Canis lupus familiaris: one gene and its partners. The protein of the gene in region 2 purifies or fractionates together with the protein of the main gene of each other region. This does not show direct contact. Links are inferred from orthologs where the notes say so. Each region holds a gene or a part of one and is shown on either strand. Other genes may lie near its edges.

Region 1 (3,655 bases), on a different chromosome or scaffold from region 2:
CTTCTTTTCTTCTTGTTCAATTTAAGTTTATCTTCTGTTTTTGTGGTACTATCATTGTGCTTCGTTTATCCTGTGGTTCCTCTAGTTCAGTTTTAGTTTCCTCCATCTGATATGATTTCTTTTCTTTGTATTTCCAGTTATCCCCTGCTCCTGTCATACCTTTCAAGATCTTTTCTTCAGTTTTAGTTATGTTTCTGACTTAATTGTCCTTTCATAGCCTCTACTATGACTTAAAATTTTTTTTACCTTAATTTGAAATCTGTTTACAGTTTTCATGTGTTTTGTTGGCAGATCTTTGGCGCACTTTTATTCTCTATAAAGACATGATTCTTTATCTGCTCTTATCTGTCCTTAGTTGTTCACACTCTTGGGGTAGAGCTCTGCCCTTTCGGGGTGAACTCTAACCGGTATTGTTATGCACACCCTCCTCTTCCATATTGCTCCTGTAGGACTCTACTAGTTCAGGCTCAGGTATTCATACTCTCAACTTATGTGTCAGTTGGGAGTTTGCCACTCTTTCTTCCTAGTTTTAATCTAAACTTAAGTTATGGGTGTTTTTATTGGATTTTTCGCTGCATTTTAATCTGCATAAGTTTTAAGAGAGGTAGATGGAATGTGATTCATACATATGACTTAGGTAGAAATACAGAAGCCTCTTTTTCAGTTTTCTGAATAGTTGCATTCCTAATAAATAAACAAAGAATATAAACAGACTGGTCAGGGTCCTATCTCTCTGCCTGTGTCTGATTCGGTTAGGATTCAGAGCCCTCCTACAATGTGAGAAAACCTGATTACCACTCATTTGTAGGGCAGCTCTGCGGCCCTGACAGAAGCTCTGGCATACAGGAGACTTATTTTTTCTTGTCAGCCACCCAAAAGGAGTGATCTAGACTATGGAACGATTTTGTCCTCCTGAAAGAGGCACCTGGATATTCCATGTCTTACTTCCTGTGATTATGATATAGTTCTCTGTTGTTTCTCTAGGTGAATGAGAAGTTTGCCAGAACTGAGGGGTGGGGGAGGATGTTAGACTGTCAGGGAAAAGAAGCAGAAAGACATTGAAGAGAGCCGAAAAATCTAATAAAGCTGCTAGCTCATGTCAGAAGAATTGGCATTGTACCAACAAAAATGCCTGCATTTTAATAATAGAAATTGTATACTGGAATACTAGAATATCAAAAACTAGAATTATAATTACACATGTAGGAAGTGTGATATTCTCTGCTAAGATTCCGGAAAGAGCTTTTCAAATAAATATTAAAATTATCCTTTGACTAAGTAACATTGTCAATTTTTTTCTGAAATCTTGAAATTTTTTTAGCTGAGAATTAGTGTATATGTTAAATTTATGGATACATCATTATTCAAACAAGCAAGTCAAGATTGCTCTTAATGTACTGCATTTTGTTTTTGGTGTGAGTATAACAAGCATCATTATAACAACATGACTTTTATCACATAGATTTTAGGAATGCCAGGGACTAACTCATTCTCTTAAAATAATTGCATATAGCAGAAATATCAGAATTATCCCCCATCCGCACTTCTACAGTACACAAAATCAAAAGTGTTCAAGTTTATTTTTTAAAAGTATGCTTTTGGATTAGTACTATTAGACGTGTGTTTCTCTGTATTTTGTCCTTAATCTGTATCACCTTTTCCCGCCAAAATCTTGTATTTTCAATTCGCAGGATTTGGGTTTTGGATTTGGTCTTTTGTTTGCTGCTGATTATATATTATGAGTATACCATAGTTTATATAATTACTTCCTGTTGTTGGACACTTAGGTTTATCAGTTTTTACCATTCTAAATAATGCAGCAGTGGATTACTCTTATATGTTTTTAAGTGTTTCAGTAAGATTAATTAGTATAAGTAATTTGTAGATCCTTGATTACCAGGAATGAATGTTCAGGATTTCTGATATTAATTTCCAAGTTATCTCTGTAATATGGTTTTAATAAATCATAAACTCTTATTAGTGCTAGTTATAAATGAATGCCAAACTAAAATCAGTATTCTGTCTTTTCTCAGAGAGTTCTGGGAAATCGTTCATTCATTTACAGATGAGCAGAAAAGACTCTTCTTGCAGTTTACAACAGGCACAGACAGAGCACCTGTGGGCGGACTAGGAAAATTAAAGATGATTATAGCCAAAAATGGCCCAGACACAGAAAGGTAATTATTAATTTTTTTGTAGTTTTACATAGAATTATCCAAATCACATGAAATATTAGTTCAGAGAGTGTTTTTCTATTACTGTTTGAGGAAATTTTTAACACACTGGCCTATTTCAAAACTATTACAGAGCTCACTTGATTTAAAATTTTGCAAATTGATATGATTCAATTTTTAGTTCATAATTTTTAAATTCAAGACCTTATTATGTATTCTATTTAAAAATGGTTGAATTGAGGCTTGGAAAATTGTTCAGCACTAGGTTTCATAATCTTAACATTTGAATCCAATTTCATAATCTTGGCATTTAATTTGTTCTCTATTATATAAGTTAATGTTTTTGTTGAGTAAGGATCATTCATGAACAGTAGTATATTTGAGGGTTTAAATATATAGAAATATATAGAAATGTCTGTGCCTCCCTTCTTTATTTCTATTAGCATTCCATATTATTTGATGTATTATTTGATGACTTTAATGTAAATTTGTTTATATTTGTTATTAAGTCATTTATATAACATATTGCCAAGAATATTTCTGACTGGCATTAAAGAACACAGACTTTGAAATCTTAAAAACCAAATTTGGGTATTCTCTCCACTTTAGAGTAAATTTGCTTCTCAGTGATGTCAGCTCTGTAGTGGGAATAATGATAGGTTTATTGTGAGAAGATTTAGTTAAGTGAGATCTAACAGTTAAATACCTGAAACAATGTCTGGTTTGTCATAATTCAGTGGATACAATATGTTATCATCAGTCATCACCATCTTCATTATCATCAGTATTGAGTAATATATAAGATAAAGACAAACTGATACTTGATAGCTGTACACAAAAAGCAAAAAGTTTGAGTTGCATTAACGTGTACTCTGCATTGCAAACCGTCTCAACTACAGGTACAATCTAAAAGTAGGACTTTTTAATGATGAGCATGTTCCCCATGATTTATTTTCCTATTTTCCCCCCCTTCTCCCTATTTAGGTTACCTACATCTCATACTTGCTTTAATGTCCTTTTACTGCCGGAATATTCAAGCAAAGAAAAACTTAAAGAAAGATTGTTGAAGGCCATCACTTACGCCAAAGGATTTGGCATGCTGTAAAAAAAAAAAAAAAAAAAAAAAAAAGAAAGAAAAGAAAAGAAAAAGAAAAAGAAAAAAAAGGAAAAAGAAATTTAAAATTTTAATAAATATAATGAGGGATAAAATTGGTGGTGATAGTGTCCCAGTACAAACAGGCTGTAAGATAGTGAACCACAGTAGTCACCTATGTCTGTGCCTCCCTTCTTTATTGGGGATATGTGGGCTGGAACAGCAGATTTCAGCTACTTATATGAACAAATCCTTTATTATTATTATTTTTTTTTTTTTTTGCGTGAAAGTGTTACTTATTCTTTCACTTGTATGTACAGAGAGGTTTTTCTGAATATTTATTTTAAGGGTTAAATCACTTTTGCTTGTGTTTATTACTGCTTGAAGT
Region 2 (3,655 bases):
CACTCCTAAAAATAAGCTACAGATTAATTCTTTTAGTCCATTCACTGAAATAAGCTGTCCCCAAATAAGAAACTGACAATTATTTGACATGCATTCCTATCATGAAGCTTGTAACCATAACAGGAGTATAAATATTTTAATGTAATCAGAATGTGGTGGCAATATGGTAATTGTTTTAAATAAAGAAATCAGACCTTTGCTAAAATTTCTTTTATTTTTTTCTTAGAAATGTTTAAAGGCTCACTATTAAGGTGCTTTAAAAAAAGATTTTAGAATTATTTAAATTTACCAATTAACCTCAGGTTTAAGATTTTTAGTAATTTTTTTTCCTTAAAGGTTTTATTCATTTATTTGAGAGAAAGAGACAGAGATACTGAGATAAAGCATAAGTAGGGAAGAGAGGAAGAAGCAGGCTCCCCACTGAGCAGGAAGCCTGCCATGGGGCTCGATCCCAGGACCCCGAGATTATGACCTGAGCCGAAGGCAAATGCTTAACCAACTGAGCCCCCCACGTGCCCCAATTTTTAGTAATCTCAACATTATGTGAAAAATGTACTGAGAAGGTTCATCTGTGGGTTACAGGCAATTACAAACTTCTGCCATTCGAAATGTAGACATGCTTTGGGCTACTAATGCTGAGTCTGAATACAGCTGGAAGGAAGAGCAATTTGTTGTGCTAGGGTAGTGACAGCGGAGTTTTACATAATTCCTCACTATTTCTCAAGCACATACATCATATATTTAATCTACCATGAATACCAGGTATTTGGCTTCACAATTATTTTCTATAATTGCTATACTGTAAACTGTTATCACTTAACTCACTTAAACTTTCCTCCCACATTCTTTACTCCAAATCTTTTTAGATTATAGGAGGAGAAACAAAGTCAAAATAGAAACAACATTTAGGAAACAACTGTAAGAATGAAGAAAATTTCTTAAAAAATATATAATATTACCACTTAATATATTGAAGACCAGGGAGCCAAGGTGGAGAGAAGTTTTTGTTTATTTATAACCACACTATACAAATGAGTGTTTGAATATAAAGTAAAAAAAAAATCTGTTTATCAGATTCATGATATTAATTATTTAAAGAGAATTGAGAACCATAAAGTAAGCTTGCTCAATCTAGTTACCGTAAGCCTACCTTTTCTCAAGGAAAGTCTTCCCATTCACATAGTTCTTTCCCATTGCTGTGGCTTTCCAGGCAAAGTAAGCTCCCTAATCAGGAAGAGAAGACAACCATAAAACCATATTTTAAATCCTTAATCTAATTATAGCACCCTGCCATTTCTTTTTTTGTTCTATAAATTTGTATCTGACTTCTAAGTTCACAGAATATTTAGTGGAATGCAATGGATAATGTCAGAAAATAGGCTATTTTTAGAAAAGGAAAGTAACAAAGAGACATGAAGAAACTTCTGGAGGTTATGGAGGAACTTCAGTTATTTTGATTGTATTCAGGTATTTACACCTATCAAAACTCATCAAATTGTACACTCTGTATATGTGTAATTTATGGTACAATTTATGTGAAAAAGTCAGTTAAAGGAACAGGTTAACCTAAGGCAAATAAGCAAAAGTATTATTTCAGCTTACTAGGATGGTTGAAGGACTCTAATAAAAGTCTGATGAAAAACGGTGAGCAAGTCTTTATTATTGCTGGATAAATTAAAAAGAGGGCATTTCGTTAAAAATATTTCATAGTTTTGATATTTTGTAATCTAACGTTAAATGCAAACAGCAATTTATTTTATATAACATGGCCTAATCTACTGAAAAAATACATACACGCAAACACACAAGAAAAATACTGAAAGAAATATATCAAACATACTTTAAAAGAAATAACCGCCTTTTAGATAGAACGGAGGGAGAGGGCAAAAAAAAGAATCCTGGACCCCAGGGATGGTGCCTTCTGTTACCCCACTGGAAAGGAAGGGAAGAGGGTTTGTCATTTAGCTTCAGCAGCTCAGAAATGGGTAACAGACACTGTTACCTCCCAAAATGCTGCTCTCATTTAAGTAACAAACAACCAAAATATTTTTCTTTTCTTTTCCAGGCTACAAGGTTAGAGTGTAAGACTGACTCAGAGTGAACTTGCAGTTATTTCATGATCCACAAATTCTAAAAATTCCATTCCTAATCATGAAATTTTTTCTTCCAGTTTTCCTCATAGCAAATAGGATACTTTTGGAGCAGGAGTAGCATCTACGAACACCTTCTAACTCAGATACCTATCTTTTGCCTTAGAGGAGACAGACTCACCCACTTTGCAAAACATTGGCTTCAAGAGTTACATCTGTGTGTGTGTGCAGGAAGAGACATTGAAGTCAGCCCCAGGATTAAACAGATGGCAAGGAGTACAGCACTGTCCTCCAGACACAAAGCTTTCACCACATTTGTCAAAGTAACAAAATTCCACCGATTTAAAGAGATTTGATAACTATTTCAACAAATCATTCAAGTATGTGAAGTTAATGGATAAGAGAAAGCACCAGAACTGAGGGCAGAACTAGTGTACCCTTTTCATCAGAAGACTGAATTACCAACATTTTAAATATGGAAATGAATATACACTACTCCATAGTTCTAAAGTCCCAATGAATATGAAAAAAGGACGTACTGCTAAATTTTAAACTTTGTGGTCGTTTTTATTAGATGTGCAGAGTATTTTAACAAATCCCTCCAATATGTCTGATGATACTTACAGATGGATCTGACTGAAATAAATACGGTCGCCCCTCATTCCAACCACAAATTAGTAGGGAAACTCCAAATGGACGAACACCACTAAAGAAAAGAAAACATGAAATTATGGTGTGAAGTCAACCTAAGGATTTACTAATCCTCTTAAGTATTAATAAAGCAAATCATCAGGTAGAATGAATTAGACTTGGAAGTTCCTTAAAAAGTATTTCCTACCTTTCTGAACAAATCAATTCAAAATGAATTCTCTTTATGGTGCTAAGGAACATTAGTCAAATCATTTTGGTAAATGGAGGAACACAAATATTGGGGTTAGTTAAGTATGGAGTTAACATTCTGTGTCTTAACAGAATGACAACTTTCAACAAATGCAGCTTTTCCACTTGCTTTACGTATCAGCAACTCCCTTTATCCTACCTCATCCACATGTAGCCCAGATTCCAGAAAATTAAAAGAATATAGATGTGTCAGAGAGCTATTGCTTTCTTCATGTGCTTATAATCATTCTGGTTGGAAAGATAAATTTGGAAGCAGGAATAACTGCCTTCCCATAATTAAGTGTTTCAATCCCTGGGCTAAAGGACTTTATCTAGAAGCTGCCTTCTGCTATTGTGTTGACAGCAAGAAACCACTCTACTTTTTTCATTAAGAAAATATTCTAGATCCAACTGAGATTAGATATATTCATCAGAGTGATTTTCTTTACTTATTAAATAGAGCTAAGTCCTCTTTTTAAATATATTCACTCTTCTAAAACAGTTTCTTTTCTCTAATTCATGACACATTTCAAATAAAATCAACTTACCCTGACTGAGTGTATTCTTGCATCACTGAAGCTACTCTCTGTACCAGCTGAGCTGTGGGAATGGGTTCTTGGTAAACGAGATAGTATTGCTGAGCAAGTTTTCGAGCTCTGTGCACGAGCACTCTAACAGACAAGGAA
Region 3 (3,755 bases), on a different chromosome or scaffold from region 2:
CGAAGCAGTGTATGTCTATACTCTACTACACTATGCTATACCATCTGGCTCAAATCCTGACTGCATCACTTAGGAGCAATTGTACAACCTGACTGTGCTCACTCATCTCACTTTAAAACAAAGGTCATAATAGTTTCCACCTTAAAGAGTTAAGGGAATTAAATAAGATAAAATTGGCCAAATTGTCTGTTAAAGACTCAATACCATCCCCTTCTTGGGACACCTGGGTGGCTCAGAGGTTAAGTGTCTGCCTTCGGCCCAGGGCGTGATCCTGGAGCCCCGAGATCGAGTCCCACATCGGGCTCCCTGCGTGGAGCCTGCTTCTCCCTCTGCCGTGTCTCTGCCTCTCTCTCTCTCTGTGTCTTTCATGAATAAATAAATAAAATCTTAAAAAACAATACCATCCCCTTCCTACCCACCCTTTTCCAGAATGTCTTGCCAGCAGGATTCTGGGTTAGATCCAGCCAATGGGAGGCAGCAGAAGCACCTTATACCCTCTCCAATAGCAGTGGATCCAGAGTTTCAGTTCAGGTTTGCAGCCACTTCCTGCAGATTTCATCCTGAATACTGCCTTAGGACAAGAGGCAGCTGTGATCATTGCTGGTGCTCTCCTTCAGTTCCTGCAACTTCCAGACTCTCTGAAAGCTGAAGGTAGCTTTCCCTAATCTTTGCATTCCAACCCATCCAGTGGGTTCCAGTACTGAACACTACTAATCATAGAGGGATTCCTGGAGGAGGTGAGGGTGTTAGAATGATGCTAGGCCAAAAAAGCAGAAGGCCTACAGTATTGAATAACTCCATCTCGGTGCCCATTTGGGCCCTGCCCTTCCACTCACCTCTTCACAGTTTCCAGGGAGACAGTTTCCAGGGAGCTTGAGATCCTCACACTGCTGTCACTTGGCAACCAGATGCTGGTGGCTGCAGCCACCTCCCATGTTCTTTTCATCACCCTGAGCCCTCATCTCTGGCATGGGCTCTGCACTGCCCAGGTAGCAGGGGCCCACCTGGGGGAGGCATCTTCCATCTGCTTCCCTTCTCAGCCAATCACAGGCCTCACAGGGACAACCAAGACTCTTGATAGTGGTAAGTCCACAGAAAGTGCCAAATGGATGAAGGGCAGGACACAGACAACCCTCTGGTCCCAAAGGATCCTCTCATTTATTCTCATCCATGGAGGGCCCTGGGGTTCAGGGGTGGACAGAACACAGTACCAGCCTAAAGGGCACATAGCATAATGCAAGAGACAGAGCTTACCTCATTCTAGCAATACACGGGTGCCAGTATCTACTCCATGCTGAGTACTAGGACACAAACTACCAAAGGCATGGCTCGCCCTTGGGGAGGGGGGCTGGGGAATGAATAGCAGATGCCATGGTGTCCAGCTCACTTCTTAGCAGTCATCTCTAAGCACCAAAGGCTACTTCCTCTAAACTTTATGATTCTCTACCTGAGGGCTTTTCATGCCCCCCAGAAGCAGCCCTCAACGAGGGAGTGAAAAACAAAAAACAAAAAACAAAACAAAAAAACCTTATTTCTCTTACCCTCAGTCAGAACAAAACTGGGACATGTCTCTCCCAGAGTTGCTGGTCAGGACTGAGCTCAGGTGCCCAGAGGGACCTGGCTTCATCACATAACACCTAGTGGCTGCTTCCTAGTACACTTCTCTACCCTCTTGCTGCTATTTCCTAGAATCAGCTCCCAAATAAACCAGTCAAATCCCTGTCTCATGTTAGCTTCTCAGGGGACACTGACTAACACGGGGATGATGATGTATTACAGGGAACCAAAGTTCTGTGAGACTTAAGCTATAACCAATTGTCTGCAAAGCAGTGGCTGAACCACTAAGGATGGGTAAGGGAGCTATCTGCTATCTGCCCCGGTACAGGCAATGAGCGGGTGCATCTTTTGTAAGAAAGTTAAAAGTAATAATAAAACTGACCAGTCTGCTTTTAATTATAAACCAGCCATTCTAATGTTTCAATTATAAAATTCTCCTCCTCATCTCCTTCCCCTCCCCTGATGGCTCTTGACATCCCGTGCCTGTTCCTTAGCACCCCACTGATGCCAATTGAAGACAGAGAAATTGACTGTGGGCAGAGGAGATGGGGGAAGGCCTCACTCAAGAGGCAGCATTGATCTTCTATCACACAGTATTAGCCGCGTTTCACACCTCCATAACTTTGCATGTGCCAGTCCCTTCTATGGGGATACCATTTGTGCCTCAACTCCCTCCTACTCTTCCATCATGGTTTAGTGTAGTTGGGCACCTCCTCCTCCAAGAAGCCCTCCCTGACCCCGATCTGAATTAGATGTCTCCTCTGGGCTCACACAGACTTCCACGTGCCCCTATGTTATGATGGTCTTCACATTGGGTTCCTTTGTATATAATTTTCTTTATCTCTAGACAGTGGGCTCCATAGTGGCAGGAACTGGAGCTCGTTCACCTAAGCATTTAGGAATAGGGCTGCCATTGGGTGGGCACCTTTGTGCTGTGCACAGATTGCATCACCATCCGTGGTAACACAGCCTCTGGATATTTAGCAAATCAATAAATGAATGAGTGAGTGAATGGATTGGTGGAATTTTCAATAACTGGGGAAGGATACTTTTTTTTTATTGGAGTTCAATTTACCAACATATGGCATATCACCAAGTGCTCATCCCGTCAAGCGCCCCCCTCAGTGCCTGTCACCCAGTCTTCCCAACCCCCTGCCCACCTCCCTTTCCACTACCCCTTGTTTGTTTCCTAGAGTTAGGAGTCTCTCATGTTCTGTCACCCTCACTGATATTTTCACTCATTTTCTCTCCTTTCCCCTTTATTCCCTTTGGGGAAGGATACTTAAAGCAGAAGAGACAAAGCAAGCAAAAGCAGGGATGCTTAAAAGTGCAGAGCTTCTTAGTGGAAAGGGTAAACAGCTTTTAGGCCACAGGCAGTATATCTCAGGAGTCCACCAGCTTTAGCACCACCTAGATTGTGGTAAACATACCTGCACTCTACCTCAGACACTCAGAGTCTCTGCAGATGGGGTTCAGGAATCTGGGCGTCCCAGAGGAGTCCCAGGAACACAAAATTTGGAGCAGTATGGGGCCAGCTAACAAAGTGAGTGGTGAGCCACAAAGGGGTGAGACTGGCCCAGTTACGTCGAGCCCACACCAATAATTCATTCACTCAACATTCATTTACTCATTCATTCAATATGTATATGTTGAGCCAGGAAGGCACTTGAGTATACCTGTGCACTAGACAGACTTGCTCTCTGCTCCCTCGTCACAGTCTAATGGGAAGACAGTTATTAAATAAACAAGCAAACAAACAAATACCTGTTATAAGGTCAGGTTATGATTAATGCTTTGCAGGAAAGAAACCAGGATAAGGAAGGGATTAAAGAGTATTACACGTTATTTTGGATGGGTGTCAGGGAAGCCATCTGGGGAGGCCAGTAGGAGGTGAGAGAAAGAGTCACTTAAAATGAAGAAGTGAACCATGCAGATATTTGGGGAAAGAGCATTCCAGGCAGAGATAGCAGTAAAGGCAAAGACCTGGAGAACAGAACATGTGAAAGTGGAAGCCTGGTTAGGAAGCTACTGCAATCGTCCAAGTATGAGATGCCAGAGGATCAGACCAGAGTGGAGGCAGCAGAGGTGGTAGGAAGTGGTCAGATTCAGAATTCAGATTCAGACGGTAAAGTTGACTAGCTTTGCTTTTGAATTTGTGGGCACGAGAGGACAGAAGTCAAGGTTATTGCAGTTAAGAG

The links.
Region 1: the proteins of PSMA2 (region 2) and UBE3A purify together in Homo sapiens (affinity purification with mass spectrometry; 4 studies listed by BioGRID, with this or other methods). This does not show direct contact. The link is inferred for Canis lupus familiaris from reciprocal best matches to the Homo sapiens genes PSMA2 and UBE3A.
Region 3: the proteins of PSMA2 (region 2) and PSMF1 purify together in Homo sapiens (affinity purification with mass spectrometry; 3 studies listed by BioGRID and IntAct, with this or other methods). This does not show direct contact. The link is inferred for Canis lupus familiaris from reciprocal best matches to the Homo sapiens genes PSMA2 and PSMF1.

The regions. Positions count from the first base shown.
Region 1 is NC_049224.1:35,738,386-35,742,040, forward strand, and holds part of UBE3A (ubiquitin-protein ligase E3A), read left to right. Parts: intron 1-2,033; coding exon 2,034-2,177; intron 2,178-3,158; coding exon 3,159-3,279; 3' UTR 3,280-3,655. UniProt on the Homo sapiens protein: E3 ubiquitin-protein ligase which accepts ubiquitin from an E2 ubiquitin-conjugating enzyme in the form of a thioester and transfers it to its substrates.
Region 2 is NC_049239.1:7,336,657-7,340,311, reverse strand, and holds part of PSMA2 (proteasome subunit alpha type-2), read right to left. Parts: intron 3,641-3,655; coding exon 3,518-3,640; exon of another isoform or gene 2,797-3,517; coding exon 2,715-2,796; exon of another isoform or gene 2,171-2,714; intron 1,225-2,170; coding exon 1,151-1,224; intron 1-1,150.
Region 3 is NC_049245.1:20,365,487-20,369,241, reverse strand, and holds the start of PSMF1 (proteasome inhibitor PI31 subunit), read left to right. Parts: upstream 1-925; 5' UTR 926-1,083; intron 1,084-3,755. UniProt on the Homo sapiens protein: Plays an important role in control of proteasome function. Inhibits the hydrolysis of protein and peptide substrates by the 20S proteasome. Also inhibits the activation of the proteasome by the proteasome regulatory proteins PA700 and PA28.